Linked DNA regions of Neodiprion lecontei. The protein of the gene in region 1 purifies or fractionates together with the protein of each later gene. This does not show direct contact. Links are inferred from orthologs where the notes say so. Each region holds a gene or a part of one and is shown in the gene's direction. Other genes may lie near its edges.

Region 1 (7,941 bases):
CGCTAAATTGCATTGCGAAAAACAAATGATCCGACTGAAAGTCAAGCACGTTGCGATCGTGAATGAGCCTAACCATGCAGCTAAGAAATCGAAGATTTGTGTAACAATTGTTACCGCCACGCCACGTGACAGAGGAATCCCAGGGAAATACCCATAACCTAACACATGCAAACTCACCAGCGTTGCCGAGAAATGGAGAAGTTACTCGGAAGTCTTTGCTTAAATCTGTGAAAAACAAAGCAAGACTTGAATTAATTTAGTAAATTGGCTTTTCAGTTTTCAAATCAATTATCACTGTTGTCGAGATTTATATCTATGCATTGCATGTTACGCAAGAACAAAAGTTGGGTATTAAATGTGCGACCTTGAATTATCAATCAATAATTAAAATAAGTATTGTTACCTCTTATCTGGGTTGCTCCGCAATTTAACGTAGTAGTTCTTGTAGCATCTCAAGTTTATTGGTCAAGCGACGCACTTTTCACATAATTCACATCTTCGCTAATCTCTTATAATCCAAAAATCCGCACCGCAATAACACTAGCACTCGATTCTACATTCACTTTTTGTGCTGTAGCTATCCATTTGAACCGACTGAATAAACTGGCTGACAATGCAACTGTGCATTCGCCGAAAATCAGCTAAAAAAAAAAAAATTGACACTGGACGTACAGAGGCAAAAATACACATCACTGAAATCTGAAGGTACACAAAACAATGAAACCGCGAAACACGAAATTCACCTTCAACGTCCGCAGAATGTTTTTACGTCAGTGACTCGGTTTTTCTTCAGGCTACACGCGGCTCGTCTGTATTATTCACAGATGAGTATGGTGGAAATACGCTTATCGAACAACGTGACACAATCTGAAGAACGTGGTCTGAGCGTGGAACCGATGCCGAAGACCAATAATTTCACTCTGATTTCTCGGAAACGACTGATGTCGCACGGCGCTCGCGCTCTCTCTACCCTCCTCCCGTGGAGTGGGGGTAGCTGCACGCACCGGCCTGCCTGCCCCCCCTCCCCCTCGTATTATGGGTGCAGCGACAGAGAAAGCTGGAGAATTATTATCTTCTGTCCTTTAGAGAAGCGATTCAAATCCGTTCACAAGACGCTTACGCCGTTGCTTACGCTCTATTTCATACATCATAGAGATCAGTGTATACGTCTCTATGGTCTCAATATATTACGCATTACACGTACTCGTATGTAGAATACCAAGAGACGTAGATTACAGAAACCAACTGCAAATCTGTTCAGCATTACAGTTTGAAAGTACAGTAGAACGTCTGATCTGCAATTTGTTGTATCAGTTACGTATTACGCGTAATTCAATCAAATACGCCCCTATGCATGCCGATTCTATAGGAATGGCGTAACTTCTGTTAAATTACTAGAGAATATAATTAGAATAGGCAAGTTATGCTCTACCTATATGCTGATAACCTTATGAAGTATTGAAGACGATTTATCTTGACCTTGATGACTTGTTGATTAATGTTATTCTTGGATATGAAGGTCACAACTCAAAACCCTTTTTTATAGTGTTAACGTTTCAGCTTATGAAGTATTATATAATTATAGGTTATAATAGTCATAGTTATTTACAGCACTTAAATAATAATATTGTAGTTCTGGGTAGCGTGAGGATGCCATAATATGGCTTTACACTCGGATTAATGATTCTCGTTGTTATCTCACATCTAAGGATATTTTCAGTAGTTAGGCGGTTCTTTGAATGATCTGCTTACAAAATTCTTACACTTAATTAAAGTTGGGTTTGTTGGGAGCATGAAGGAAAGCGACCGACTAGCATTTCGATTGGATGTTATACCTAAAACTCCCCGGGACTTTAGTAACACAAAATTATATTCGAGTGGTTACACCTCGGTGAAACACATTCAATGGTTGAGGGTCGTGGGCACTAGACTCTATACAGATTTGATTTCGTTTGTGATTTTGGTTTCTGGGACTTACGTGCAGGTGTTCACGTATATTTTCACTTTATAAAGATTCAGTACAGCTAACAATAAGAACAAAACTGAAGAGGACTTGGGGGACTCTGTTTACTGCTGATCGTTGTATTCATATGTCGTAAATATGGCACTGTCTTGTGCAAGTACGTATTTGTTTATTTCTCGACGATTATAAATTATTTCCGTCCAATAGGCAATCTGTAGCAATGGCCCGGCTTCAGCCTTATTTCTTGAATTTATTTCACCCTCCATTCTTTCAAATTAAACGTAACTGTTTTATACCGGCTCATGAACCCTAACCTGAAAGTTCGCGCGTTTCTTCAACATTATACCGAACTCAAAACCATTAATTTATTTCCAGTTTCCAACGAGGTCCCAGAGCACCCGGTAATCTCTCCGGTTTCCGGTTCTATTTTCGAAAAACGGCTTATCGAAAAGTATGTTGCGGAAAATGGAGTGGATCCTATAAATGGAAAAGATCTTGCAGTTGAGCAGCTGATTGATGTAAAGGGTAAGATCATGACTGCAAAGAAAATGCAGAGTAATAATCATGTCGGCATCATTTTGAAAAATGTTTATTCTGCAAGGTGTATTAATTCTAAATTTTCTGTTCAGCTACGCCTCTTGTAAAGCCAAAACCACCGAGCGCAACATCTATTCCTGCAATTCTAAAGATTCTACAAGATGAGTGGGATGCAGTAATGTTACATTCGTTTACTCAGAGACAACAGCTTCAGACAGCCAGACAGGAGTTGTCTCATGCTTTATACCAGCACGATGCAGCCTGCCGAGTTATTGCTAGATTGACCAAGGAAGTTACTGCAGCCAGAGAAGCACTGGCCACTCTTAAGCCACAAGCAGGCATTACTCAAGCAACTGTTATTCCACAACCGGTAAAACGTTTTGCTGTTGTCTGTTGCTTTCGTCCTTATTTCTATTTGTCGTTAACAAAGTTCTGGCATATTTTAATCCTACATAGCTCAGATTTCATTATGATTTATAAAATTCATGATAAAAGTTGTAAAAAAAGTTGTACAAATTGGTTTGCAATTAACCCAATGAGATTCTGCGTACAGAAATTCTCAGCATGGATAACATATCTGTGTATCTGTCTCTGCCTAGTTTTACTTGATATCTGTATCGAGAGGGTTTACCCAGGATAAGGCTGAAGTTGGTAACATTCGCGTAATGCCAGACAGTTATTATTGTTATATGGTAAAATAGCAAGTTTAAAAAAAATTGCATCATTACAATAACCTTATGAACTTCGACCTTATCCATCAGTTTACATATAAGTTCCATTACTCATCATGCTTACTGTGTCGCATATAGTCTGTTGCAGTGGAAGCTGGTGGTGCGGCAGCTCAACCAACTGAACAAGCTGGCATCACTGAGGATGTTATTCAAAAATTACAAGAACGAGCTACTGTTTTAACTCAAGAACGAAAAAGACGTGGACGTTCTATACCGGAAGATCTCTTACCACAAGAAAGCATCAGGGCATTCCAGACACTTGCTTCACACCCGGTTAGAAGTCCCATTAATTTTAATTTTGAGCAGAAATGTAATTTGTAACAAAATATAATTACGGAAAATGTTTTCACTGACAGGGATTGCATTCCGCAAGTGTACCAGGAATTCTGGCACTTGATATACATGGGGCAGATACCAGCAAAATTCTAACTGGAGGCGCAGACAAAAATGCAACAGTTTTTAATAAGGACACTGAACAAGTAGTTGCTATTCTTAAAGGACACACCAAAAAGGTAAGTAACACCAGAAATAAGCAGTGCTTTTCAAAACTAATCTCGCAGTGTAATATGAATTATTATGTAAGGTCGAAAATTTGTCTACTACTATTCACGATCACAATTTCGTACCTTTTGTATGGGAAGAAACTCGACATCTTTAAGTGACTTTTACTCTATAGATCACATGGAAGTTAGTTTGAGTTTTGATTTTTTTGTTTTTGAGATACTTGCAAAGGAAGTACGTTCACTCAAAATTACCAATTTAGCTGAAGTTTGGCACGAATGTAATACTTTGAGAAGAAAAACAAATGGCGATTGGAAAGCATGCACTTCTTGGCCATTTAGGAGAAGTTTGGTATTGAATTTGAACCTGTTTTTCTATCTGCGAATTAAATTAGTTGATGTATCAAAGCTATTAGTCAATAATGTAAATTTAGTTACTTATATTTCTGAAACCATGAAGAGAGTTAATATTTTATGAGAAAGCATTTCAAACTTACCAAAACTTTAATACAATACACCAAAGGCCGCTTAAGTATTAATTCTTACAAAGGTGACACTCTTAGTCTTCCGTCACTTATTTATGAGCAAAAGCGTGTAGCCAGCTGTACCATACTATACAACCTGTGAACACAGTTTCCCTTAATATTAGCGTAATTATGAAGTAGAGAGGAAAGATCATGAACTTGTGTGGTGGAGAATCTCAAACATAACAAGGATTGACTGCGGACATTGTAGTATTCGACTTATTGATAGCATTTATTTCATCGTGGAATACAACAATAGTCCATTACACCTTTAGGTTGTCATTACTATTTTGTCCTCTGCGTCCGACCTAAATGCCCTGCAGCAAAACAACTCATACAAAACTATCCTGTCATGAATCACCCGAACGGAAGTATCCCAACAAAATTACCCATGTCAAAAATAATCTGCAACAAATACAACCCAGGCCAAAAATAATCAACCCAATGAAGAATAACCCAAAAATAAAATAACCTGTGACAAAAATAACCCAAGACAAATATAATCTAGGGCAAAAATAAGCCGATCAAGAAAAATATGTATTGTTTGTTATCTGTTTGAATATTTTGTTTAAAATAGACTAACGACAAACATTAAATTGAGTCGAATTCAATTAAATTCAATTAAATTCCAGATGTTATATTAACAATTTGTTTATGAGTTTCTATTCATGATTGTTGAATGTCATGTTCCTGCAGCGTGTAATTTTTTAGTGAGAGAAGAGAGTTTTCTTAACTAGAAACAATAAAAATGATGCTCATCATTTTAATAATCTCTGCATTAAGAATTCTACTAATATGTCTAATTTTCTATCACCTTTTGCAACGTGCAATTATTAAGTAACCGATTTCACACTATTCTTTCATTACAAAAATCGTCTTAATTGTATATTTATATTTGTGAAGTTAAATTATAGATCTTACCAGTTACGTTTTTTTGTTGAAAACCTACAAGTTTCCATGATTTACATTTCTTACGATTGTTAATATTTTTTATTAGGTAAAATCGGTGTCTGAAACGTAAAATCAGCATTTTTTGTCCTATATCTTCGGTTTAACATATGTAGCAAAAATCAATATTAATTGAAACTTGAAATGTATCAATTTAGAAAGTATAACATTTCAATAGCACTCAGCAGTTATGGTATTAAGCTTTTGATTTCAAGTATTTTGGAAAATTTTAAGGTCACACGAGTTATTTATCATCCGGAAGAAGATGTGGTTATGACAGCATCACCTGATACGACAATTCGTGTTTGGAATGTGGGAACAAGCCAAACGACACTTTTATTGAGGGCTCATGATGCACCTGTAACTGGCCTCTCACTTCACCCTACAGGAGATTATTTGTTGAGCTCATCTCTGGACCAGCACTGGGCTTTTTCGGACATACGTACTGGCAGACTACTGACAAAGGTCAATAAACGAAAATTCATTCGCTAGTTTCTTAGTTAACAATTTATGATTAATCCATTTTATGGAAAAATGACTTCTACCATCACTTCATTATGGTCCCTTCTCCATCATAGGTAGCTGGGCAATCTGGACAGCCTTTGACAACAGCCCAATTCCATCCAGATGGGCTTATCTTTGGTACAGGAACAGCTGATTCTCAAGTCAAGATTTGGGATTTGAAAGAGCAGTCAAACGTGGCTAATTTCCCCGGTCATTCAGGTCCAATTACCGCTATTAGCTTCTCAGAAAACGGATATTACTTAGCAACAGCCGCAGAAGACTCTTGTGTCAAACTATGGGATTTGCGAAAGCTTAAAAATTTCAAGACACTTCAATTAGATGACTCTTATGAAGTGAAAGATATTTGTTTTGATCAAAGTGGTACATACCTTGCTGTGGCTGGATCCGACATCAGGTGAGCTTGACTGCACACATCAAAAATGTATTTTTGAAAAACTTATTTGAGTATGTATGAATATTTACGATTTTGTTTCATTTTTCTAGAATTTATTTGTGTAAGCAATGGCAAGAATTAAAGGTACTCAACGATCATACGGCAACAGCTACAGGTGTTCGATTTGGGAAGCATGCACAGTATATCGCTTCTACCAGTATGGATCGAACATTAAAGCTCTATGGATTACCTTAAGCCTCAACAAGTACCTATTTAATAATGTGAAAATAAATTATATGATTTCAATTCAAAAAGGCAAAGTTGGTAACTATTTCTTTAGATGATATCAATTTTTACTGATATGATAAGTGTTCTTATATTTTTTGACCTATTCAATTGTCCATATTTCACCACGTATATTGTTGGTATTTACTGTCCGTATTACTGATGAAACAAGGGAAGGCAATGCGTAGTTATGAGCCTGATCACTTAAAGCAGATTCAAAATTATACGTAAGTTGCCTTTTGTGTAACATATTTGTCTTTAGCCATCTTTATATCAAATTACACTTAAAGTACTGCAAGGTGATAAGTTTTGCCTTCCCCATCCATCTAAGATTGAAGTTCATAATTTTTTCATATTTTACTGAATTAGTTATATCCATCCATTTGAACGAGTAAACACACTGTAACTCCAAACCCCGTTAAAATATCAACGATAGATGCTAATGTTTTGATTAAGGAGTCAAACTTTCATTCATGATTATTCATTTTCATTCATATGTCTTAAATGGCTGGCCCTTTTCAAAATGATTTATCAAAAAGTGTTTATTGTTTAAAAATCGCGTGAATTTAAACGAACAATCTTCATTTAGCTCCAACAGCCAGAATTATTTGGACAAAGTTCTGCAATTGAAATCAAAACTCACGTTCGAAATAAAGAGGTACTCCAACTTTAATTTTAATTGAATTTTGATGCCTGGATTGTGAATTTTTCTTAATTAGTATTTTTACAAAAGTTTAGCACTGGAAGTTGAGATTCATATCAAAATATCCATCAAACCTTGGGCCAGAAAATTACTATGAAATTTGAATAAAACTCTTGTACAATTATTTTGATACATCAACGATATAAATGTCTCGTATGAAAAAGGTCTTAAAGTATAAAGAAAAGCTTTCAAATCTTTTACATTTAATAGTATGTAATTGGTATTCTGAATCTGCATTTTCATGATGTGATCGATGTGGTCACTGACTTTTTTTCCATACTTATTATGATTTTGCAGACTCGCAACATTTTATAACATCAATAATTAATTTATAATTCATCTGTTCATGCAAATTCATGGAGAGGATATCGAAATAAAATTTATGTTGACTCCTGAAATTCTGATCAAAGGAAATATGCATCACCAATTGTGGATCATGTAGCCTATGTTTCAAATAGTTGTAATAAATATTTTATACAGCAACTCAATAACACTGTTTTCCGTGCATAATGATTCCTACTGTTTATAGACAGATTTGGGGACCGTCACAACAAAAATTTCTTCAAACTAAAATGACAACTCACCCTTGAATTTGAATTTTTTTAAGAGGATCCTATAATTAGTCTTTACCACCTGAGGAAAAAGGCCCTTAGTTTGTTCGTTATCCGGTCCTATGTATAGTTAAAGGGATGTCCTGGTCGATTTCGACGTTGACGTATATATCACCATGCATCGAAGTCCCCGTATCTTAAACGCAATAAAGGGCTTAACAGCCCCATTCTATGTGCAATTCTGAACAAAAACACTCGCATACATTTTCATCTGGCATAAATTCTACGAATTTACAATTGC
Region 2 (3,540 bases), on another chromosome or scaffold:
ATTCACATTAATGCGTCGGTGCCAGCGGCGCCATGGCTTGGTTGGCGCAAACATGCGACCTCCACGACACATGTTACCAAAAGCACCCTGACCGGAACGGTGTGTACCTCCTCCACGAACACGTGGGATACGTGCAACAGCACGACCGGTACCCCATGACTCGGCGGAAGTTTGATGTCCTGTGGTACAAGAACAATAATATATGGAATTTTTGGTGAAACGTGAATGCAGTTTAATGATAATAAAAATTCAATCACTTCCAATGGATAATATATGTGCAAAATAAAGATCTTTCGATATCTCGACATTTTTTTTCAAATGTATAATTGGTTGAACAACTCACCAGCCTCTTTAGATACACAATACGGCTGACGACTGTTTTTTGACATCTGCTGGTGTACAAAGTTCACCACATCGGGACGGATGGGTGCTTTGAACACTGAAGGAAGAGAGATCGTCTCTCCGCTAGGTTCATTTTTCTCACTATACACAGTAATAAGGGGACGCGCTGATGATAACGACTGAAATATAGAAAAGAACACATGTTTCAGATTACACATGATTTTAGCTCTATGTTAAATGTTAATAATCCTCTAAGTGACTATTATCAAAAAGTAACAAAGCCACCAGCTACCAAGTCTCAGAGATATTTAAGTGACTGAAATGTTAATTTCATGTTAGGTGAGCAAACAAGATGAATTGAACAGCATTGAATTTATGTACATTATCCGATACCTCTTCAACAAAATCGGCATTATAATCATCGATGAGTTGACACAGGGTTTACACTCAAATGTAACAACAACGTACTGCAGTATTGAGAAATATATGAAGACGTTAGACGCAGGTTGACTTCACTCATTGTAAGCAAAATTGATGGATTTGATAGGAAGTACGAAAACCCGATAATGAGATAAGAGAATCTGCGTATTCGGATTTCGATCTATTTCCGTAGTTAGGTGATTTTAATAACTCAGAGAGTGAACCGCGACGCCGTGGGCGATTGGAGTTATAAGAATGCGACATGTCGGGTGAATTATCCGGTGAAATCTAATGACATGCACATGGCGGCGATGGCGGCGGCGGTGAACGAGGGGGAAGTTTCTAACCTAAGAGAAGATGCTCTAATAGTACGAATTCGAGACATAATAACGAATATTTGGGTAGCACTGCACACTCTGTTAAAATCGGACGACGCTTGATGCGTAACGATGAAATTAGCCGCAACATCGAAGGGATTCTACACGTGGTCGACACACACGGCACTACATTACGACTGATATCTTTGATTTCCCTTGCAAATAAGGATGTGATTGAAACTGGTAATCAACTAGCAGGAACCGTACGCGAAATATAATTTAGATTTTGAGTTTCTTACCATCTTGACGAGTTTACAACTTTCAATTCATTAGCAAAACACCAACCAGGCTGCTCGCACGCCTCGCCTGGTCCTAAAGGAAGAAGAAGGAGGGCGGAAGCTGATGAACTCCATGCTAGGCATGCGCCAAAGTTCGACTCGCAATGTTGACTACCCCGCGATTATTCAAATTCAGAGTAAAGTCGCACGGAAAGAGGAAATAAAAAAAATTGGGATTGCATAACGATTTCGTCTAGTTAGTGCGATCCTCGGCGAATAATTTTGTACTCAGAATTTGTAGATATTACAATAAACAACCGATTTGGTCGAGTCTCGTGTTGGAAACGCAGCGATTCACTGGGCACGGGGTTCGCACGAGTCTCGAAACGGATTCCGGCCAATGAACGTCAACACGTCACTGACATTTGTTTAGTTCGATCGCGTTTGATTTCGGTTAGCCTAAAAAATACGCAAGTATAGTGACGGTAGGAATAATGGCAGGCGAGGTAGTTGTGGACGCTTTGCCGTATATAGATCAAGGATATGACGAACCCGGAGTTAGAGAAGCGGTGAGAGATGATATTCCTGACCGTATAATCGTGTGAATCATTTGTTTATGTAATTTTCACTTTTGAGGTTACGTTTCAACGTTGTATTTCAGGCTTTGGCGATGGTCGAGGAAGAAACTCGCCGTTACAGACCGACAAAAAATTACTTGGAACACCTGCCGCCTCTCAATCTGAATGCCTTTGAAACAACTGTGATCAAACACGAATTTGAGAGGCTCCAATCTCGCCTTCCAATGGAAGTACTTAGCATGAAGCGGTACGAACTCCCACCACCACCTCCTGGAAAAATGAATGATATAGCTGCTTGGAACGAGAGTGTGGAAAATAGCATGGCTCAGCTCGAACATCAGGCTACACGGTGAATTATTTACTTACACGCAATTGGGAAGACTTGAAATAAACCCTTGTATCGTAGTTGTTCATCACTGAAATATTTCAGACATCATTGCACATTCCATTATTGCAAAATAAAAATAAACATTTCTTACTTTTATAGAATCTGTAATTTGGAGCTGATGATGGATTACGGCTGTGAGGCCTGGAAGTGTTACTTGGAAGTTCTGATGCAGCTGGTTTCGCAGGCGCAGAAACAGCTTCAGGGCTTGAGAAAAACGATCCAGGAAGTAAATTGGCAGAGGAAATCGATGCAAACCCAAGGTGGCGAGAAGTTGAGAGCTTTGGAGGCTCAATGGGTGGGATTGGTGTCTAAAAATTATGAAATTGAACAAGCCTGTGTTCACCTTGAGGAGGAGATACACCGGTATAAATATTTAAAACACACTGGTGGAGAGGCTGGCGATGTCCCCGGGGAAGAACAAGAACCAGATATTCCAGGAGACAACGCCACTGAGACAACGGCCATGGAACCTACACCAGAAGAACCTCGACCTGCGTGACAAAACGACAACTAATGATTGTGGTTAAAATGTAAAACAATTTGATGTGTAAGCAAGATGCTAATTGTAACTGACGAATTTTATAAATTTCGATTCTGATACATTCTAGTGATTGTGAATCAGAGTATTTATTATACGTAACTTTTTCAGAATAAAGGTATGATCGAATTTCAAAAATTTAGTTTACCCACATTCTATTAATATTTAATCCAGATGCTTCGTAAAATATTTCCCAGTAGATACGAGCACTAAACTTGTTAATGGAAATAAATTTCTTATGAAAAATGTTGCTATTGTGTTTGGACGATTTTGTACCGGAAGTTTTTAGATACATAGGACAGACTTATTATAAAGCACGTTTTATTTAACCGTAGTCTACATTTATCACGCTTCGAGTATGCCTACAATATACATATTTACAAATCAAAATGACTAACTAATATTTTGTAATTATTTAGTAATAGTGTATATGTATACATTTATATATACTATGTATATGAGAGAATGAGAAGTTGTTTCGTGATAAAAAACATTTTTTGATTTGCAACATAGTCACAATTATCCACAGATCTATCATATGTTTAAATTACGCAAGTATCTACGCAAGTACGCACAGTATGCAATTTTGTATTTTATTATCGACAACGATAATTAGTCGTCATAATTAACTAATAAATACGTTACGTCAAAATAATATATAATAATTACAAAGCGATTT
Region 3 (5,525 bases), on another chromosome or scaffold:
TGCAGAGGGTTCCTAAATTTTTGTAGATCTTTCTTCTTCCTATCCAATTTGATAAACAAGGATGCCACGATTACGTGCATTCATGTACGTACGATACACAATTCGTAGCTACACAAATACTGTTGTACTCTACCGGGCTTGAATTATAACTGGAAATGCGATCGCAGCGATCGCAGCGGACAAGACTAGATACGTGTGCGTTTATACTAGCTGCTAGTGGCAGCTTCGCTCACATACTGGCATGTATGCAACGGTAGTGTGGTCAGGAGTGAGATATATTTATATTTATGTTTATATATATATATATATATCCGTATAATATAATGTTTTTGTCGTTGTACATTTGGTTAGGCGAAACGTATGGAAGATGAAACAACCATACCGAATATATATGTATTTTTCTCTCTCTCTCTCTCTCTCTCTCATCACTACGGCTTTAGTTTTCGCAGTTTTCGCGAGGTTGACAGAATGAGTAACTGCCTCCAGTAGTATACGCTCTAAAGTTTATATAGATTTGAGATAGCATAGCCATATATCTTTATACATAAGCCATTTTATACAACATGCGCTTACCGGCCAAATACGTCACGAATCAGTTCTAAACCTCTATTTCGTGTCAAAGAGCGGTACTAAACCACGAACACGAAAACACGAGCGTGTAGGCTCGCTCTGGCTTCCCTCTAGTTACGGATTTCTATGTCATAGAGTGAGACCATACAGAGCGGGTGACTTTGGAAGGTATATTGAGGGAATCCACTGGTGTTCGGTGGGAACTCCCACGACTATAAGAGAGCTAGTCAAGTGTTAATATAAAGTGAAAGAGATCATGAGCATTCTCAGTTCTGATTTTGATACTTACAGATACGTGAAGATAATTGTTACGTTGTGCTGTCTGGTACAGAAGAAAAGTGTTATTTAATTAAAAAGCATTGATGTATTAACATTTGAAATCTGGTAGAACTCTTCAATATTGAGCTAGATCACGAGACTGGACAGCTTAGAGCCCCCATAAACACGGTCCAACATCAACGTGCTGTACTGTACGCGTAGGTACTCAATGATGCAGTGAGCTATACCATCCTAAGCACTGCTGAGTATTTTATCAACCGTAATAATTAATTTCACAGAAGCAAATGAAGATATCAATATTTGCCATCGTAGCCGTAACAATGATCCTTATTTCGGCTGAGGTAATTAATGTTGAAGCTGGACTGGTGGGTGTTGGACTTTGCTACGCCGGCTGCGCGACGCTCGCCGTCGCATGCTTTAGTGCAGCTGGTGCCATATTCGGCGTCGCAAAAATTGCCCAGATCAATGCATCACCAGCCCTAGGAAAATGCAATTCGGCATTCAGTTCTTGCGAATCTGCCTGTGTTGGAGCATTTGGTTGATCTAGACGTGTCATCTAGATGTATCGTAGTCCGAAGGTCGTTGCTGACCAAATCATGAATGAAAGCTGCAATAAAAACTCGTAAAATATCTCACTGTTGAATGTATTTCACCGTTGTTTGCCGCCTTATCGATATTCACTTTTCACGCTCGATACCATTCACCACTTGCCGTCCTGTTCCGTTCCAAGTTCCATTTGTCCCGTTGTAACCTAACCTGATTCAACCCAATTCAACCTAGCTGATAATAATGTATGCCTATGCATAAGTATGTATACACATGGTAATACGGAGAGTACCAATATAGACTCATTGTCAGTCACTGAAGAACATAGTCTTTAATCAACACATCAGGATTTATGTACTAGGGTTATACACAATTACCATGTATGGCTTTATTCTGTTATTGGTTAATTATCACGTTTACTTATTAACATAAAATTAAGTAGCTGTGATTTAAAAATATCGAGACAAACAGTTTTCGATATGGATATCGGTGAACTATTATCATACAAGGTAATTATTCAAGTATTTTTAAAGGTTACCAAAGTTAGGTGATGTTTAGTTTTCAATCTGAACAGTAAAGTTTCTTACGCTTATTGTATTACTTTCGTTACTATACTTAAGCTACTTATTAACGATATTCACACTACAAGTGTGTGTCAGTAACATAACCTGCCAATCTCTGAGACACTGGTGGTTATCGTCGTTAGATAAGGGTGCGCTCACTGCATTACTGTCATTAGCTGATAAACCTGCAAGTTATGATGATTTCTGTTGGAGTAGGTTGGGTTTTATGTAAGGAATTAACTTTTAGCCACCCAATACACCGAAACGACCAGTACATGGAGATGAAGAAGATGAGGATAACTGGGAAAATGCTAAACGATCAAAGCGTGTGATTAAAACGCCATATCATCCTCGTCAGCGACAGATTAATGAGGGTGATCTCACTCCAGCTGTTAGCAAAGAACCTCCTACACCAATCAGAGCTGCACTTCCAGCTCCAGCCAATGATGTTGTCGAACCTCAGTTGACAGAAAAAGAAAAACAAGAGATTATCAAGTATGTAGAGACGGAAGCAGCAGAGGTTGAAGCTTTAGATGAAGCCACGCTAAAGCGAATGATTCTGTTGTTTGAAAAACGAGCTCTTCGGAATCAAGAGATGCGGGTGAAATTTCCAGATCAACCAGAAAAGTGAGTTAGCATTTACCCAATTATTTGTGAAAACAAACTACCAAATGTCATTTTACCATTCTGTCTTTTCTAGGTTCATGGAATCTGAGTTGGAGCTACATGAAACATTGCAAGAACTAAATGTAGTAGCAACAGCCCCAGATCTCTACCCGATAATGGTAGAACTTGGTGCTGTGGCTTCCATGCTAGAGCTTCTGTCTCATGAAAATACAGACATTGCTGTTGGGGTGGCTGATCTGCTGCAAGAGCTTACAGATGTTGATATTTTGCATGAAAGCCAGGAGGGTGCAGATATCCTTATAGATTCGTTGCTGGAACAGCAAGTATGTGCCCTTTTAGTGCAAAATTTAGAAAGGCTTGATGAGAGTGTAAAGGAAGAAAGCGACGGAGTTCACAATACTTTGGGTAATATTCAATAAGACAGCAAGATGATTATTACAATATGGACGTATAAAGTTGATCTAAGTTCAATTAGGACATGAAATTATTAGGGATATTTATTTTTGATCTTAGTTGTCACCTTTACCTAAAGGGTTATTCCTTAATTTTTTTCAAGCCATATTCGAAAATCTGCTCGAGTTCAGACCAGACCTCTGCGTAGATGCAGGTAAACAAGGACTCCTCCAGTGGCTACTACGAAGAATCAAGGTGAAGGCTCCATTTGATGGAAATAAGCTATATGCCAGTGAACTGCTGTCCATACTTGTTCAACAAACACCTGAGAATAGGTTGCTGCTTGGGGATTTGGATGGAATAGATGCTCTTTTACAACAACTCGCTGTAAGGGTTTTGCTGTTTTCTAACTATATTGGAATTAATCTCGATGAAAGAATAACAGATGCAAACCCGTTCACTGTAATCCTTTAGTTCTACAAGCGTCACGATCCTCGAACAGCGGAAGAACAAGAAATGATGGAGAATCTTTTCAATGTTTTGTGCTCCAGTCTAATGGCAACGATAAATCGAGAACGCTTCCTCCGTGGCGAAGGACTCCAGCTCATGAATCTAATGTTACGTGAGAAGAAAATGTCTCGTAATGGATCTCTAAAGGTACCACGTATATTGAGAAATTTATGGAAAGTTGTCACAGCCATTGACGCAGATTTCCGGTTTCTAGACAGGGGTTTATATTACAGGTACTGGACCACGCTATGAATGGGCCAGATGGAAAGGACAATTGCATGAAATTCGTAGATATACTGGGATTAAGAACAATTTTTCCATTGTTCATGAAAACACCAACTAAGAATCGAAAGAAAATACTCACAACGGAAGAGCATGAAGGTAGTTACATCATTTTTATTTACTACTGTTCCCCTCCTGCTGAACTCACCATTCTGTCTTGTTCCCACCACCATGTATTTATTCAGAGCACGTCGTTTCCATTATCGCAAGTATGCTGAGGAATTGTAAAGGAGCACAGAGACAGCGTCTGATAAGCAAATTCACAGAAAACGATTTTGAAAAAGTCGACAGACTGATGGAGCTTCATTTTAAATACCTAGAAAAAGTAGAGGAGGTCGAAAGAGATACAAAGGCAAGTCGTAACTATAACTAGCTATTGTTCACTTTTGTAATAATCTATAAATTAATATCAAAACTGACATTACTTACCTTGATTATACTAATTTTTAATCACTACAAATTTGTGTATGTGTGGGATTTAATCAGTGGATATTTTCTATTCCTGATATTATTTAAAATTTCTAATTTACAGGATGACGAAGAAGAGGAAGAATCTTACATGAGGAGACTGGACGGAGGATTATTCATTCTCCAGTTAGTAGATTACGTTTTATTGGAAGCCTGTACTGGCTGTCCACCAACAGTGAAACAACGTGTAACGAGAATTCTCGCACAAAGACGAGCATCTCTCAAAACCATAAGGCACATTATGAGAGGTAGAATAGACAGCTCATATTGTGAATTCGCACTCCCAATACCCTTTTCTCTCTTTCTACAATATGAAGGAGACAACATAGAAATCGTTTCTTTTCTTAATTTCTACAGAATATGCGGGTAATCTTGGTGATGCTGGTGACAATGAGTGGAGAGAGGCGGAACAGCAACATATTTTGCAATTGATCGACAAGTTCTGATGTCTACCTGCCTCGCGATTTTCACCCTTTACATTCATCAGAGGATTCTCACACATTACCCAATCGTGTTCACACGTAATTAGAGATGTAGAAAAATCCACTGTACATCGGCTAAAATCGAAAAATTTACAGATTATTGCAATCACGTAGTATTAATCACATTTGCATTTAATTTACATCGTTAATAAGAATGAATTGTCAGTAAACGTGATGCGCTGTTTTTGTAGGTAGTTTTGTTGCGATTCTATCAGTGTAACTCCTACTGACCAGCTTATCTTGCATCTCAATGCCAATAAAATCGAAGTGAGTCATAATATGTCTACATACATAATCTTGCCATATATTATTCTTATAATTTTTACGTCATTTTCTGTTCCCTACAGTTCGTTACTTCATCATTAATCAGGATTAAAGAATGGTATGTATAACATACTTACATTTACAGCTTTGGTAGTTCTGTATTTTTCTCGAATAAGCCACAAAAATTGAAAAGAAGCGTCGCTTCATCAGTTGACAGTCATCTGTACTATGAGTTGTAGTCAACATTTGTTGTAATGCCTTTCTGCTTTGTTCTTCACTGTTGCTGCAACTTATATTTTTTAACATTTTGAATCATTATTTGTGAGAGGATGGATTTGGTTCGATGATGAAAGAATGACAAGGCTTCTATACAATTTAATTATAATTGTCTTCAGACGGTCTGCAATTTGCTACTGCAAATCTACCGAGTGAAAAAAAAGTCGAAAATTTTCGTTAATCATATCAGACCATTTTTTAAAGTTTTAAACGAATATGATTTTATTTACATTTGAGCGGAGTACACAGTAGGTGCTATGCAATC
Region 4 (6,889 bases), on another chromosome or scaffold:
ACTTTTAAATATCAAACTTATAAAATAAACCAAGTTAGTCAAAATATCCAAATATTAAAGTCAGTTATTCCACTAAAACCTCTCACCAATCTACAAGTCATCGCATCCAGAATACTCTCAAAAAGGTAAGCCAAATTAAATCTTTTATCCAACAATTTCTCCCTCTTCGGTTCGTTCGACTAGAGCGACAGAATGCCCGTTGTCCGGTGTATTTCAATACTTAATCGGTAATTGGTGACCCAAACTACTGATGTGAGTCTGGCTGTAGCTGCGTGTGAATGTTTCCGGTGTCTAACATCTGGAGATTTCCACTAGGTACCGTTCCGACGTCACAAGTGTGCGTCAGCCGTCCCATGGTCCAGAATTTGTTCCGTCTCACGAACTCGGAATCCAGTGACTTTTCAAGCCCCAATCAGAAGTGTTCCGGACATTCCGTTCCGTGTGCATTACCAGTATTTGCGAACTGTCAAACAAATCTCTGTATCTGTGTGTGTGTGGGTGCGTAACATAAGAAAAAACTGAATTCGTCAGGTCCTGTAAGTATAAAATTCTTCAGAATACGAAATTCATTTATTTAATTGTTCGTTGTAGTTGTTGAAGTGGAAATAATTAAAACTTGCGTCACGTTTGACCTAATATCACCCAATTTCTAACCTATAATTCGAGAATATTCATATCATAACCTCTTATTTGCAGCCTAACGTAAGCATGTAACGTAAGCATGTAAACAATACATATGCTTGTGTGAGTAATACGATTCCGTCTCTGTCAGCATCGGGTGTCCCATGACACGGAATGCACAGGCCCGGAAGTGCCGACACCCAATCACAGTAGTGCATTTCAAATTCAGCGCTAAAAGGAACAATCGCAATTTGCCGGCGATCGTTCCGTGTGTGTCATTTCCGTATCATGGGACAGTAGGAAAAATGCATCCCGTAAATCAGTGGAGCCGGAACGCCTCCGATTGGGGCTTGAAAAGTCACTGGGTTCAGGGTTCGTGGAGACGGAACAAATTCCGGACCATGGGACGGCAGCCTTATACCCGTATTCATAGTCGCTCCTTATCTCAAGGGTAAAGGACGCCTTGATGAAGGCTTCCTTGAATCTCAGAGGCATCCTCGTTTCATAGTCACAACTTGGCTCTCCCTTCCAGGAGGGAAGACATATTTAGGGATATGTGATTGCTTATGGTGGTAAAACTGCTGATCGAAGCGTCACTCGGTTATATTTAAATCTAACTTAAACCGCTTGGCTCTCATTGTCAACTTGCGTCGGTTGATGAGAGTGTATAACTTCAAAGAGGTTAACTTGTAGACTAGCTGTGATCTCTGCGTCATACGGGTCATAAGTGCATAGTCGCCAAGCGCAAGCGCAAGCGTTGGCTACATAAAACGAAACTGCCAATCGCAGTGCCGAAGCTTTCCTCAAGGAAGCTCGAGATCTGCTTTGAAAGAAGGAGGCCAATAAGGCTCCTTGTGCTGTCAAGGAAGGACTATGAATACGGGTGTAACTCACTTCAATTTCACCTTCTCACATCAAATTTTGTGTCAAGTCAGCTCGCGCGAGGAAACTCGCACTTTCAGGAGGTGAGATTGACCGAAATAGGGTGAGCCGCTCACATTCGTCATTTTCACCCAATCCAAAAACCGTAATAAGCCCCCAGAACTTCGATTCCACCGTTTTTGGTGCTATCTTAGTCTCACACCCGCAGTTGATATACTGCCATCTCTTTCTAGCGATCTCGGGATTTGGGTGTATTCCAAAATGTACTTCCAGTACTGCCGACCGTGACGTCACGCAGTCAACTGCGAACTGCGTTCCGTTTTTACTTCGAGTTGCCAGTTGCAGAAAAAGCGGAACGCTACACCGAGGACGCGGCCATCTCTCAAGTACTGCAACTGCCTCACGTCCCAGACCGTAGTAGTCACAGTCAATACGTCACAAATTTCAGACGTCACAGACTGGCGGCAGGAAGCTGTCGCGCGGTTTCGGAACGCGGTTGCTAGTACTTGCAGTACTGCGAGTATATTTCGGAATACACCCATAGTATAAACATGGCTGGTTTTAGTACAAATCTAACCTCTGCGGTCTAAGCAGTTTTTGTCACGGTCAAGACTCTTATCAAGTGTTTTCTGTGTGGAATGTATTTTTCATTTTACCCTGCCTTACTTTTCGGTTACTCACGTGCGGGCTGAATGATACAACAACGTCGTCCGTATCTTGTTCTCTTTGGGGTTCAACGAGTAATTCTTTGCAGTTTTCAAATTGACTTTTTGCTACTTCTTGACATTCCAGTTGCACAACTTATTACAATGGCTTATCTAACCCGCAAAGAGATAGATGATATGAAGCCTCAAATAGAGAAGGCAGTACATAAGTTTCTGGGTTTTGGAGAGCCGTCAATTGTTACTACCGCTATAAACTGCATCACTTCGGGCTACGACAAGCGTAAAACTGCTGGTAAGTTTCTCTATATCACCGACATTCGAACTGATCTACAACTATAACCATTGAACTGTGTCGCTCATTCATTTATCCTTTTCACTCAGTGATTTCAAGTTTTCAATGAAACGCTACTACCTAGCGTTTAGTCAATTTACTAGAGATAAGTATTCATCTTCTGATGGCATGTCAAAACATTTTTTTACAACTTGTATATGTGGTATGTGACAATTTATGTTTTAGACAAACTTTCGGCACTCTTGGAAGAAAAGAAGGCTACCAAGTTGATGGAAAAAATATTTTCAATATACGATGACACCAAAGCTAACCAAAAGAGTAAGAAACGTCCTCATACCGATGACAAGGATAAGGACAGAGATGCAAAGAAACCGAAAACAAAAGAAGACGATTTCATGAACGAAAAACCTACAGAAGCACAATTGTCTGCTGACAAGGTACATTTAAGTTTATAAATCCACTGTCTAGTACCCGAACTGAGGGCAAAAATGCTTTGTATCACAAAAATTGTTTCGATCAACTAAATGCGGCATTCACGGACGGCGATACGAATATTTGGTTACAACAATTTATAAGCTGCTCAAACTAAATAAAAATTACTTCTGTTGACTTTATTATTACTTAACACAAGTAAGAGGATGTACAGTCAACGGAATATTAAGTTGAACGATCTCTATTCTATAGTTGATATAAAAATCATTTTGTTAATCTGAATATCCTACTTCTTGATCCAACAAATGTTTGATGAATGCAAGATCATGTTCTGTTTGTTTCAAAAAATTGTAGTCGTCGGAACTGAATATTCGGTTGGAAAAATCACAGCTAGGTACAAGCAACTGAACATTCAGTTCAGTATAGTGTTTCAATCATCTATTGAAACAACTTACTTGTTAACTTGAGTCTCATATCATTCAGATAAAAAAATGCTCAGGTTATAAAGTAAGGTTATGTTTTATTAGAATTACTGTATATTTCGTTTGACGAGACTGAATCATGGAATGAAAGGATGTCCTGCAGTCATTTGAAAAGGTTCTGATCAAAAATGAAAATAAAATTTTTAGCCTAATTACGACAGTTGGTGGATTTTTCAGTATTGCAAATAACTTATAATTGATTGCAAGTTGGATAAATCACATTTTTAGTTTCTGATTAAAGGCTGCATGATTTTGATCAGGATTCGAATCGGGGATTGCTCACTAATACTTATCATACCACCTAATCGTACATCTGTTGCCACTATGCCAAACTATCGCATAGATTTCGGGTTAACTTTGGCTCACTTAAATGACGAAATACACTTATCTCAGTGATATGAAGCTATTGCCAGCAGACATGAAAAGATTATGTACAAAATGCAAGGATTTCATCAATATTTCAACAATTTAACTGCACTGAAAAAGCCGACGACATAGTACAGTTGAATAATGAAATGCTCGACATGAATATTTTATTCATGTCATTAATTCAACACACAGAAAACATCGATTTCATTACCTTTATGTTTTCCCAGCTGCCACGAACGTTAGAGTTTCGTGGTTTTTTTTTCAACCAACAAAATATTTGAAAGTAGGTAAATTTATTAGCCTATTTGTGTTTGTAGATAAATTTATTTTACCATATGTATGGAAACCATTTTCTTATTGTTTCGACTGATACATTCGTTTAAATCAGCAAAAGTATTTGCAGTTAGTCGCATTATCGCTGACTTGGATCAACGAAAAAAATGGTACCCACGAAATGTAGATTCGCTTACGCTAAGGAATTTAATTTTTTTTCATCCAATTAAATCGATTCAGTTGATTTACTGACTTTTCTTATCACCATTCGATTAACATTCATCAATGCTTGGTTAAGAATTTCATCTCCTCATTTTCCTCCTCTGCTACATTTTTTTTTATAGATAAAACAAATGATGATGAATGCTCAAAGAGAGATCGAGGAGCGCAAACGGGCGTTAAAGGCGATACGGCAAGATGATATGCCGCCAGTCAGACCCTTGTTCCGAGCTCGCGAATCCATGCCGTCCGTAGGGAGTATGTACAATCAGGGACTGTTGAGTAAAAATGATTCTGACAAAGCTCGGAAGATTGCTGCACTTCAGGCTCAAATTAGGAATAAACTCAGTTCGGGATTATTGGGAAGCCTGCCAGTCCCTGATAAGCCAACACCCTTGATATTGGATGAATCTGGAAGAACAGTCGATATTACAGGAAAAGAAGTTCAACTCACCCAGGTAGTTCCTACGCTGAAAGCCAATATTCGAGCAAAGAAACGGGAAGAATTCAAAGCCCAGCTGCAGGATTCTAAGGGGCCAGAGGAGATGCAGGATACGCATTTTTTTGATAGTCGGATCGGTGCAAAGCCAGCCCAAAGAAACAAGAGAGCCTTAAAATTTCACGAGCCTGGGAAGTTTCAACAGTTGGCAGATAGAATACGTATGAAAGCCCAATTGGAAAAATTACAAAACGAAATATCACAAATTGCCAGAAAAACCGGTATCAGTTCGGCAACAAAATTGGCACTGATTGCCCCCAAGACCGAGGCCATGAACGAAGATGTGCCCAATGTTGAATGGTGGGATTCGGTTATTATTACTGGATGTTACACAGATGACGAAGAACAAATGCCAATCAAGTTTTCTGCCATTACAAACTTGGTTGAACATCCTACGCAAATGCGGCCTCCAAGTAAGTTATGAAACTCTGGACGATCAGATTGTTTGTAATAGTACTTTTAGCTGCTTTCCGGTTGCATTATGAAAATTGAAATCCTCAAAGGAAGAGTGTTATAGCTCACAGTACCTTGAATAAATATCTTCAGAGAAATTCAAATCCTTGCCCTATTTATCAATAACCATATTTATTACATATGTGTGTAACTGCAGAGTTTTCATTTGCTCAAGAATTACCTGCTTGTATAATAATATGACCCCAACTTTCATTGTCTTCGATCTATTTTTCGTTTGCTTACAGCTGATCCTCTCAAGCCAATCTACATGCCAGTATTTCTGACAAAGAAGGAGCGTAAAAAATTACGTCGGCAGAACCGACGAGAAGCATGGAAAGAGGAACAAGAGAAGATCCGCCTGGGTTTGGAACCACCGCCTGAGCCAAAGCTGAGGATCTCTAATTTAATGCGTGTCTTGGGTACAGAAGCTGTACAGGATCCCACAAAAATTGAGGCTCACGTACGCCAACAGATGGCAAAGAGATTAAAGGCTCATGAGGATGCAAACGCGGCGCGTCGACTTACTGCGGAACAACGACGCGAGAAAAAAGCTCGTAAGCTGAAAGAGGATACCACCCTTGGAGTACACGTAGCAGTTTACAGGTAATCCATTGATATATACCCTGCACATGGGGATGGCCACGTTCATAGAACTATATTCAAATGAATTATTTCAGGATACGAGATCTAGTTAATAATGCATCGAAAAAGTTCAAAGTGGAAACAAATGCCAAACAATTATACTTGACCGGGTGTGTGATGTTGTTTCGCGACTGCAATGTAGTCGTAGTTGAGGGTGGAGCTAAACAACTGAGCAAGTATAAACGTTTGATGGTACGGCGAATAAAATGGGAAGAGGATATCGTCAAGGATAATGATGGAAACGAGGTGCCTAATAGATGTGTTTTGGTTTGGGAGGGTACAAGCAAACAGCGACACTTTGGCGAGGTAAAATTCAAGGTGTGCCCAATCGAAAAAATGGCAAGGGAACACTTCAAAAAACATCAAGTTGAGCACTATTGGGATCTAGCATATAGTGGTGCGGTATTAGACAATACAGATGATGCACGTACCTAAAACCTAGTGTGGTAATGAAACAATATTACAAACAATGAATCGTAGAATTCTTGGTGAGAAATAAATGATAAATAATCAATTTCAGATATTTTTACATATTTCGTGTAAAGTTGGAGTTTGTTAAACTAATTCAATTACTGAAAGGAGATGTGCTTCTGTTCATAATTATGTACCTAAGGATCACTTGTTAAACATCTGCTTTCGTCGCTTGGATTGACTGTCAGTACCAGGTCCCTGGCGCTCTTATTCATTTCATATAGGGAACTGTCTGCGCTTATGATCACCATATACATATAGTTCGTACTGCATGGCGCTGGCATATTTCGGTGTTCCCCCCTCTTGCGCCCTAACACTCCTTGCCGGCGCAAGCTAGCCGTAGTGGCAGCTGGTAGCAGCTGATGGCAGCGAGACGCCGCAGAATACTGCCAGCGCCACGGAGCGGCTGGTGATATTCGGGGGACAGGAATGTGGCTTGAGTGCCAGGGGGCTGGTCAGTATATCTATAGTCTTGATGCCCCTGTAAGTATCTCAGTAGTCATGACATGGAAAAATAGTCCTGAAATGAGAGACGTAGTCAGAAGTTATCGGTTCCTTAGAGTCCCTTTAATTGATGTGCCTCCAGGGA

Evidence for each region.
Region 2: the proteins of pre-mRNA-processing factor 19 (region 1) and pre-mRNA-splicing factor SPF27 purify together in Homo sapiens (co-immunoprecipitation; 10 studies listed by BioGRID and IntAct, counting the BioPlex papers as one, with this or other methods). This does not show direct contact. The link is inferred for Neodiprion lecontei from reciprocal best matches to the Homo sapiens genes PRPF19 and BCAS2.
Region 3: the proteins of pre-mRNA-processing factor 19 (region 1) and beta-catenin-like protein 1 purify together in Homo sapiens (affinity purification with mass spectrometry; 4 studies listed by BioGRID and IntAct, counting the BioPlex papers as one, with this or other methods). This does not show direct contact. The link is inferred for Neodiprion lecontei from reciprocal best matches to the Homo sapiens genes PRPF19 and CTNNBL1.
Region 4: the proteins of pre-mRNA-processing factor 19 (region 1) and U4/U6 small nuclear ribonucleoprotein Prp3 fractionate together in Homo sapiens (co-fractionation; 3 studies listed by BioGRID, with this or other methods). This does not show direct contact. The link is inferred for Neodiprion lecontei from reciprocal best matches to the Homo sapiens genes PRPF19 and PRPF3.

What each region holds. Positions count from the first base shown.
Region 1 is NC_060262.1:22,972,731-22,980,671, forward strand, and holds the start of pre-mRNA-processing factor 19, read left to right. Parts: upstream 1-1,914; 5' UTR 1,915-2,101; coding exon 2,102-2,120; intron 2,121-2,338; coding exon 2,339-2,488; intron 2,489-2,592; coding exon 2,593-2,870; intron 2,871-3,309; coding exon 3,310-3,504; intron 3,505-3,587; coding exon 3,588-3,743; intron 3,744-5,437; coding exon 5,438-5,668; intron 5,669-5,781; coding exon 5,782-6,122; intron 6,123-6,211; coding exon 6,212-6,356; 3' UTR 6,357-7,941. UniProt on the Homo sapiens protein: Ubiquitin-protein ligase which is a core component of several complexes mainly involved pre-mRNA splicing and DNA repair. Required for pre-mRNA splicing as component of the spliceosome.
Region 2 is NC_060265.1:27,625,214-27,628,753, reverse strand, and holds pre-mRNA-splicing factor SPF27, read left to right. Parts: upstream 1-1,751; 5' UTR 1,752-1,851; coding exon 1,852-1,926; intron 1,927-2,018; coding exon 2,019-2,284; intron 2,285-2,422; coding exon 2,423-2,822; 3' UTR 2,823-2,999; downstream 3,000-3,540. Other genes in the region: 60S ribosomal protein L4, read right to left, coding at 1-179, 344-521, 1,379-1,381. UniProt on the Homo sapiens protein: Required for pre-mRNA splicing as component of the activated spliceosome. Component of the PRP19-CDC5L complex that forms an integral part of the spliceosome and is required for activating pre-mRNA splicing.
Region 3 is NC_060261.1:30,287,671-30,293,195, reverse strand, and holds beta-catenin-like protein 1, read left to right. Parts: upstream 1-1,638; 5' UTR 1,639-1,874; coding exon 1,875-1,904; intron 1,905-2,205; coding exon 2,206-2,585; intron 2,586-2,658; coding exon 2,659-2,990; intron 2,991-3,141; coding exon 3,142-3,365; intron 3,366-3,452; coding exon 3,453-3,635; intron 3,636-3,721; coding exon 3,722-3,869; intron 3,870-3,955; coding exon 3,956-4,122; intron 4,123-4,302; coding exon 4,303-4,486; exon of another isoform or gene 4,487-4,595; coding exon 4,596-4,684; 3' UTR 4,685-4,998; downstream 4,999-5,525. UniProt on the Homo sapiens protein: Component of the PRP19-CDC5L complex that forms an integral part of the spliceosome and is required for activating pre-mRNA splicing.
Region 4 is NC_060265.1:31,664,854-31,671,742, forward strand, and holds U4/U6 small nuclear ribonucleoprotein Prp3, read left to right. Parts: upstream 1-1,993; 5' UTR 1,994-2,195; coding exon 2,196-2,460; intron 2,461-2,685; coding exon 2,686-2,897; intron 2,898-4,360; coding exon 4,361-5,147; intron 5,148-5,432; coding exon 5,433-5,790; intron 5,791-5,864; coding exon 5,865-6,264; 3' UTR 6,265-6,348; downstream 6,349-6,889. UniProt on the Homo sapiens protein: Plays a role in pre-mRNA splicing as component of the U4/U6-U5 tri-snRNP complex that is involved in spliceosome assembly, and as component of the precatalytic spliceosome (spliceosome B complex).